Linked DNA regions of Danio rerio. The protein of the gene in region 2 purifies or fractionates together with the protein of the main gene of each other region. This does not show direct contact. Links are inferred from orthologs where the notes say so. Each region holds a gene or a part of one and is shown on either strand. Other genes may lie near its edges.

Region 1 (5,103 bases), on a different chromosome or scaffold from region 2:
TTGGGCTTCTCTATCTTCGGAGGAGCTGCTTTCACTACTGATGAGACGCCGTTTTCAGGGACATATCGTTGGGTGTTGCTGGCTGGTTTGGGTGGGTAGGTCTCTATGCAACAGAAAATAGAAATGGAAAGAAAGACATCAGTGTGTGCACATCTAAGAAAACCTTATAGGCAGATGCTCCATCAAGCCAAACAAAAGAGACAAAAGTAAAAAAAGAAATATAATTCGGCAGACTGCCACTCTAGATCTCAAGAGACAAGGTTTTGCCCTACAAGGTCTTCATCAGATCACACAGGAAATATAAGAGAAAACTAGAAATAGACTGCATCCAAAATCGCCTACTACTCAGTATGTACTACGTTTGAATTAACTACACGACTGTTAGGAAAGTACGTTCTATATAGTATGAATGTGAGCAGTATGAATGGCACTCTGATGTACTACTCCCGTTCATGAATTCTCTCGTATTGCATCATGGGATAGTGTAGCATACATTGGATGTGCACTTCAGAATCTTGCTGGAAGTAGTCAGTCATCAATGTACTTGCTATGAACGTTCAATGAATTTGGACATACTACTTGTCTCGGATGTTGTTTTTAACATGCTATATAGTATGGAAGTATGCGATTTTGGATGCAGCCACTGTCAAACCCAAGACATCACATCTGGAACAGTTATAACCCTAACCAACCAATAAATAAACAATAGAAAACATGTTTCCCATCCCTGTTCCTGAAGGCACACCAACAGTACACATTTTCAACCTCTTTCTAATCAAACACTCCTTAATCACCTCATCAGAACATAAGAAGAGACTGCAAAACCTGGAATGAAAGGGTCCGATAAGGGAGACATCCAAAACAAGTACTGTTGATGTGCCTCCAGGAACAGGGTCGGGAAACACTTTATTAGATTGTTTGATATCCATGTCAAAAGTGCACATGTGATGATTTGGTGCTTTACAAACTGACCTTCAGCAGGGAAAGAGGGAGTGCTGTGCTGCACAGCGTTAAGTTCCAGCAGCAGACGGTCCAGTTCTGACAGGTTGCTGCCCAGAGAGGAGTTCATGACGGCGGTGGGAGACTCAATCGACTTCTGTTTGTTGGGGAAACTGTAGACGTGCTCTTCCTCAGACTGCGACACGCGAGGGCTGCTGCTTTTCGGGGCGGAGTTGAAAGACTGAGAAAAGAAAAATGTTTTACAATTAAGTACATTAACTTTACAAATGAAAGCAAATTAAATTGCAACATTTTCACTAATAATTCAGACTTTTTTCACCTGGTAAAACAAATAATAAAAATACTTTTTACCAAATCAGAACTAAAATTTCAGAATTACAAGTCATTTCAAGAGTTTACACTTAGCTGATGATTAAAAAGTGTATTTGGCAGCTCATAAGAGCTCAGAAGATCCTCGAGCACGGGGCTCCCTCCTGTTTGCAGGACAAGAGGGGAGTTTGAGCTCAGGTAGATCTCGAGAATTCCCCTGCTTATTTATAGCTAATAGCAATTTAGGGATTGCTATGAAGAGATATACAGCCGCTTAAAGTCTGGTTTATACTCCTGTGTCAAGTGATTGGCATGACCCACGGCGCATGCAACGCGCGTAGCTGTGCGTTTAGACTTCTGCGCGCTGTTTCTGTTGTTCTGCAAAAACGCTGGTTGGCAGTGAGGTGTTTGTTCATCTGTGTCGAGTTTCTTCACTGGTGTGTTTTTTTTCTGAACGCTTCCTTAATGTACAAGTGGCTTAAACTCGCTCATTTTGAGGCAGGAACCGGCAGACGTGCACCAACTTTAACCATGAGGTAAACACAAAACACATCACCTCAAAAACAGTGGAGAATTGGCCCTGAATAGCACAGCATAAGGTAAGAGATGACAGCTGTCTGTGCTATCTGGGGCTGCTTATTGGTCATAAATGTATTGCTTTTACTCCTGCGCCATGGAGACACCGCGATTCATTCGAAAACTATTTAATATGTGAATATAATTCAGTAAAAAGAATGCTAGAACCGTATGAGCACCGGCAAGAGCTTTCATTTGAGCTATAACTTGTACATGTGTCATATATGAACAATATGAAAATGAAACAATGTTCAATACCCAGCTCGGGTATCCAAAATACTGTGTATTTAAGAGTAAATAACTTTTGTACAATAGAATAAAAACCAAAGTGATGCATATGTGGATAAAATATAGATTCTACACTTTCAAACGAAACCACTTATGGGGGTCTGGTGCAATGCTAGCCCTTTAAATCTTAAAGTGAAAGTTGATGACGTCACGGACCCAGTACCGGGTCCGCAGAGTTTAACTGGTTAAGCCTTTAAATGTCACATTAAGCAGAGTACTAATGTCTTGAAATGATATCCAGTAAAATATTATGTACTGTCATTATGGTAAATATTGAAGAAATCAGTTATTAGAAATGAGTTATTAAAACTATTATGTTCAGAAATGTGCTGCAAAATCCTCTCTCCGTTAAACAGAAATTGGGAAAAATACAGGAGGGCTAATAATCCAGGAGGGCTACTAATTCTGATTTCAACTGTATATTGCATATACTATTATCAAGATAACGATACTTTTTAGATGTATTATGCAGATCTAACAAATATAACCTTGAATCTCCTGAACCTGCTTAATGGCACAAGCCTCTGGAGCAACCAAAGATGAAGTGCTTTGCTTGAGGGCAAAACAAGCAGAAAGTGGAACAGGCCGCATCTGGTATTTGTCATAAGGTTAAAGGATAACCAAGGAGACTCATATAAAGAGCAACAGAAAACCCTTCAGGAAGTAATGATGATGCATTTTACCTGGGTTGATGAGTGCTTTGATTCTGGTTTTTCTACCCAAGATCCATTCAGAGTTTCAGCAGGAGGGGAGATTACTCGAGGCGGAGACGACACGTCCTGATAAGAGTCGCTTCCTCTGGGGCAGGAATATGGCGTCTCTTCTGGCAGAAAAACACCTTGTTTGGAAATGTGGGAGGTTGTGGACTCCAAATCCGCGAGAAGAGCATCTGTTAGGTAGAAATAAATAAAGCAATGGTTTTAATCAAGAAAACAGCTAATTTAAAGACTAAATAAACAAAATAAAACAAATAAATAAATTATTTTTTATAAATGTTATTTATTAATTCAAAAAATAAAATGTATTAATTTAAATAAATAATTTAAATAAAAAATAATTAATTACATTTAATTAATTTAATTAAAATGAAAAATAACATTAATTAAAACAACATTAACGCCATTTGAAGGTGTCAGTGTTGCTGTGAAGACTTGTGCGACCACTTTTAAGCTTCTCTCCTGACCTTGAAAATATGATTGGCTGAATGGTAGAAAAGCTGAATTAAGATCGTGTGTAGGGTCGAATCGAGATCATGATCTTTTTTCGATTAATCGTGCAGCCCTAGTTTGTTTTGTAGACTATCGAAAAAAAAGTTGCCTAAATGGGGATGATAATATTGATCATATTGATGATAATATTGTCCTTAAAATGGTGTTTAAAAAATTAAGAAACGTTTTCATTCTAGCTGAAATAAAACAAATAAGAAAAAATATTATCAGACATACAGTGAAAATTTCCTGAATCTGTTAAACATCATTTGGAAAATATAAAAAAAAGAGAAAGAATGTCAAGGGGGGCTAATAATTCTGACTTCAACTGTTCATTTCTATTTATTAGTTTTTTTAATTTGCAATAACTCTTTTGAAATAAAATGAATTATCTTTGTATTCCTAAATAATATTAGGTGGCCAAACTCGTATTTTAACGGACATAACGGTTTAATAAAAGAGGGTGTACTCATTTACCCTGAGCACTGTATAATATCATGCCCAGAGACGTAAATCCCGGGGGGGATGGGGGGGACATATCCCCTCCCTTCCAATTTATTCTGCTTCAGGAGTCAGTCTGTTGACTGTAAACAACACAACAAACAATGCAAAAAATAGAAAAATTTGCTTTGTTATTGAACCTGAGAAAAACTTTAAAGCTAATCATAATGGCGTAGTCTCCATGCTATACTAATAATGATGAAACCATTTTGAACTGCGGGGACATTTCTTTCTTAGTACAAATCGGCTGTATTATTTGTGTCCCCTTCAAAAAAATGCTGGAAAGAAATTTTATGTTTACTGTCTCCCCTACTGTTAAATCAGATTTACGCCCATGATCATGCCACACACCCCTTAAACATTCATAAAAAACAAAAAAAGCTTATAACAATTTGCTGATTCCAAGAGCTTCCAGAATTCTGATATGCGCTTTAGATTCACATTCCCTTCATTGGTTTTGCAAACAACATAAATCTATCAGAAATCAAGCGGCTTGTTGTTGAATAACTCTTTGTCAAGTCTCTTCACAACATGTCTCTTCCTGGTCTGGATCTGATCCTGGAACAGTGGGATAATTATGAACCACAGGACGAGGATGGTGAAATCACTTCGCTCATATGGGGTGTGGCCAAACCTTGCATGTAAAGACTGCTCTAAAACAACATGCCTACAGGGACAGATTCAGCAGGAAGAAAAGCGCAAAATGCATAAACGGACACACACACACACCTCTTAATGCACATAAGACGAAAAAAAATCAATGTTCAAAAGCCAAACGCTCAGGAATGGAGCTGAAAGCACTCTCTCTCTCACACACACACACACAACTAAGCCTGTAAAACATGCTCTTAAGGAACTATAGACCATCTGTGGTTAAAAGTCCTACATATAGCAATTAGATATGAAAAGAAAGCACCTTTAGATAGGGGTTGCATCACCAGTTTTGCTATGAAGCGTGTTACGCCATGTCTATACAGGAAGTGATTGATTGCAGCATGACAACTCTATATGATTGCTAAAGTGAACCAGTGAGCTGTAAAAGTCCAGCTGTACACTATGCACTAAATAAAAATTGGATGTCTTTTGAGGTAAGTGGTTGCAAACTATTTAAATGAGGCGAATTCAAACAATTGAAAAGTAGCAATGTTCAACTTTGTTAAATTCAGCCCATATTAATTGTTTTCAACCACTAACCTTAAAGAAAATGTAGTAAATCCAATGTTTAATTTTTTTCAGGGTGATAAATGTGGAAAAATCTAAT
Region 2 (4,102 bases):
TGCTGAGACGATATATTGTGCAGCCCTAGTCATAATATATTTAGCTCATAAATTATTCTTGCTATTAACAAACTAATAACTATGATGTTTGCCTCAATAAACTTCTAATTTGCTGTTTGATAGAGTATTTGGATTTAGGTGATAGCTAGAATTCTTGATGTCGAATAAGATCATGCAGAATATGTACTTTACATATAAACAGCCAGTATTTAAACAATAGGCAGGTAATAGTCCACCAGTTGGTACAAGTGTTGGCAATTTTATTATATTCAGAGTTCCGACCCTTCTTGAGTTTCAGACATACAGTATGGGTTCAAGGCCTGTAAAATACTTATAAAATTAATTATTGCTTACATTTATATAGCACTTTTCTGGACACCCAAACGCTTTACACATTTTCGGGGTGGAATCTCCTCATCCACCACCAATGTGCAGCATCCACCTGGCAGAGAGGAAACAGAGTGATGAAACCAATTATGATATGGGGATCTCAGTTTAATGTCTCATCCAAAAGATGGCGATCACCAAGCAGTATAGAATCCCTATCAATATACTGGGGCATTAGGACCCACACAGACCGCAGTTTGAGAGCCCCCTGCTGGCCTCACTAACACCACTACCAACAGCAACCTAGTTTTCCCATGTGGTCTTCCATCCATGTACTGACCAGGTACTCAGTCCTGCTTAGCTTCAGTGGGCGACCATGTGAAAGTTGCAGAGAGCTAGCTGCTTATACACAGGTCCTTAAAAGTGCTTGGATTAAATTTTAATTGAAATTTGTTTATGGATGGTAAATTGTGCTATAAAAAAAAAAAAAAAAAGAGAAATTCTTTAACTAAGAATCTTACATTTAAACCTTGTACAATAACACTGACAAATAATGCACATTTGATCAATATTTCTGAAACCGCATTTGAATATTACCAGCATTGAAATCAACAAATCTGATTAAATTTCTTTGACCATGACTTTTTAAAATGTTTGAAAAGTGTTTGAAAATGACTTGTAAGTATTAAGTGAACTGTTAATGCCCACATGAACTGGAAGCTGCAACCGTTTTTGTTTGTTTGTTTGTTTTTCTCCATATTGTGATGCAGTTCCTAGAGAAACTGAATATTAAATGAGAAAACAGTGGGCGTGGCTTGTTTTTTTCTACTGTGAGCTGATTGGATGTAGTAAAGTAGGCATTTCATTTAGAAAGATGTGGAAAAGTATTTAGGGAGAGTTATTACAACCTAACAGATTCCTCCTCCTCACCATTTCTGTTTGTTTTCATATCTGAGTTGAACCAGCGTGGTTAAATATGTTAGCTACGCCCAGTTGCTAAGATATACGTAATCTGAGAATAAAACAAACAGCAAGTGCATTTTCAGATTTCGATAAAAGATTAGAAGGGCAAACAATTTTTTTTTCTCATAATGACATGCACAGATGAATTGTCCATCCCAAAACAATCAATTGAGCTAACAAAATCATATGGTTAGTTTTGATTTCATAGGGACTTAAAAGTACATTAAGGGCTTTCATGGCACTACATATGCTAAGGCATGAATTACAGAGGTCCTTGAAACTGTTGTTCAGGAAAGCATGGGAACTCTGTTACATTAGTTTTATCTCATTAATTTTTTAGTTATTAACAAATACATCAATTTTTCAAATGTTATGTTTTACTTCAGTATAATTTCAGATTCCTACCAGTAGAGGGCACCGTTGTCTCCTTAAGCACATTTTGTTTTGTTTTATCCTGAGTCATTGTCTCTCTTTCTCTTCTTCCAGCCTCTAAAGGAAGTGGTCCCGCGTGTAGAGAAGGGTTATAAGATGGACTCCCCCGACGGCTGTCCTCCAGTGGTGTACGACATCATGAAGCAGTGCTGGACTCTGGATGCTGTGGTGCGGCCAAGCTTCAGAGACCTTCGAGAGAAACTGCAAGATATCATAACCAATGAGCTCTACCGATAAAAAGACTGAAGAAGAGTACAAACACCTCCATGGGACCATCCTCATTCAATCTGACCAAATCTACTCTTAAAGAGGTGGACTTGACAAACATCACAAGTTACGTTTGCAAGCGCGTTCTTTTCTTCTCGCTCTCTCTTTCTCTCTCTCTACATCTTTTACTTTGCTTGGTTTTCTTAATTTTGGGGAGGCTGGCCTTCTCTATACAACTCACCTCTTTTTGATTCATAAGATCTTCAGCCTCCTCTGACCTCATATGTCTTCATATTCTCCCCCATTATGGATTTTTGATTTGATGATGAAGTACTTCCTGCTAAAAATATGATGATAATAATCAGTATTAGTATAAAAAACACAACAAATATAATGAAAATTATTCACAGGACTTTTTGGCCCTGTTGATTCTGCAAAATCCTAAACCAAAAAGCAATAATTGGCACTTAGAGATCATATCCTCATCCTATTTTCATTTCCAGTAGCCGGTGAAATACATGAGGAAGTCTTTCTTCTATTTCACAGTGCCTTTATGCCAGAAGTCTGTTTTACCTCAGAGCTTGCCTTTTTTTGTTTGTTTTTTTGCATAATTTTTTATACGTTGTTTAAAAGCGCTTGCGTTTCCTGCTTTTTTGCATCTCATCTTTCCACACATGTCAGTCTGAGCCTCCAAACCGGAATGGATGAATATAAACATGGAATATAAACACATTTCAAATGAGATGTGGCTTGGGTGGAAGCCAGAATGCTTTAATTCAGTATAAATAAATAAATAAAATAGTAAGACAAAGAAACTATACTAAAAGCCCACAAGTACAGATTTGTGGAATATTTGTTCTATAAGTCATATGCTGATTATTATTTTTTTTTGGTCGTCGTGAAGGACTTGATTTTACTCGCAGTGCTTTATTTTTTCTTCTTTTTAAACATTTTTTGCTGCCACATTACAAAAGAAATCATTCCACCAGAACAGTTTGATAAAAAGAAAGTTAAACAAAAAATAAAAAGGCTGCCAAAAAGCTTGGAATGTGTGTTTATGTGCCGTTTAAAATGCCACTGTTGTGCTTTCATCCTGTATGTAATATCTCTGTTTGTAAATGTAAAAGGTTTGCAAAATATCAAAGATCAAAGTGCTCGATAAATGGAGTTTATGTCTCCCAAAAAAAACAACAGCAACATCCTGATTCTGAATTTCCTGAAATGAGTCGTCAGTAATTCCATTTTGTCTTTCTTGCACAAATAGCGACCGTTTTGTAGGCAATAGTGTTGGGAAATAGCCACTGTTTTGTAGGCAATAGTGATGGGAAGTTCGGATTATATTGCTAACTCAGACCTTTGAGTCTCGTGCAGCGAGGTGAACAAATCTTTTTTAGAGTCATTTCGTTCGATTTGCCAAAATATTATTAAAATGTTACGAGTTGCTTCCAATGACATCTACAATTACACCAAATAAAATTCACCTTTCGAGTCTTCTGGTTTTTGAGTCATTCGTTCATCATGTGATGGCATGTAAAGAGAGATGTGAGAAATGAACAGATCAAATCTTTTTCATATGATTTGCTTCTGTTTTTCATGGGATGAACGAACGGCTTAAACCAAGGACTCGAGAGATGAACGGATCAAATCTTTTTCTTGCTCTAAATGCATATGATTGGCTTCTGCCTTTCACGTGATGAACAAAAGACTCAGACCAAGGGCTCGAGAGATGAACGGATCACATCTTTTTTCGGCTCTAAATTCATATGATTGGCTTCCATCTTTCACGTGATGAACAAACGACTCAAACCCGATAGAAGACTCAAAAAAAGGTACTAATCTTCTACTCCACCTGCACAAATGTGAGAAAACTCATCGTTCTCGAGTCATACAAAAGATTTTTTCAAAATGAATAAATCATCTAAAAACAACCCATCACCAGTAGACAATGTAATGCCATCATGGTTATTTCTGTCATAACAAAGTTATTGTCACAAGCCCGTAGACCAATCACAGAAGAGTAGGCTCTCGGAAAGGCAGGGCTTGAATGAATCATTTCAGACAGAAAACCCAGGATTCTTGAAAGTACTTGATTTCAAACATACATGAATTCAAGGCCTGGAAAGTACATAAAAACAAACATATGTTCTTGAAAGTGCTTAAATTGGAAATTTAT

The links. The genes of interacting proteins can lie anywhere in the genome.
Region 1: the proteins of csk (region 2) and pxna purify together in Homo sapiens (affinity purification with mass spectrometry; 4 studies listed by BioGRID and IntAct, with this or other methods). This does not show direct contact. The link is inferred for Danio rerio from reciprocal best matches to the Homo sapiens genes CSK and PXN.

Annotation. Positions count from the first base shown.
Region 1 is NC_133180.1:7,364,752-7,369,854, reverse strand, and holds part of pxna (paxillin a), read right to left. Parts: intron 3,082-5,103; exon of another isoform or gene 3,023-3,081; coding exon 2,817-3,022; intron 1,181-2,816; coding exon 973-1,180; intron 104-972; coding exon 1-103. UniProt on the Homo sapiens protein: Cytoskeletal protein involved in actin-membrane attachment at sites of cell adhesion to the extracellular matrix (focal adhesion). Recruits other proteins such as TRIM15 to focal adhesion.
Region 2 is NC_133200.1:21,860,199-21,864,300, reverse strand, and holds the end of csk (tyrosine-protein kinase CSK), read left to right. Parts: intron 1-1,776; coding exon 1,777-1,959; 3' UTR 1,960-2,977; downstream 2,978-4,102. UniProt on the Homo sapiens protein: Non-receptor tyrosine-protein kinase that plays an important role in the regulation of cell growth, differentiation, migration and immune response.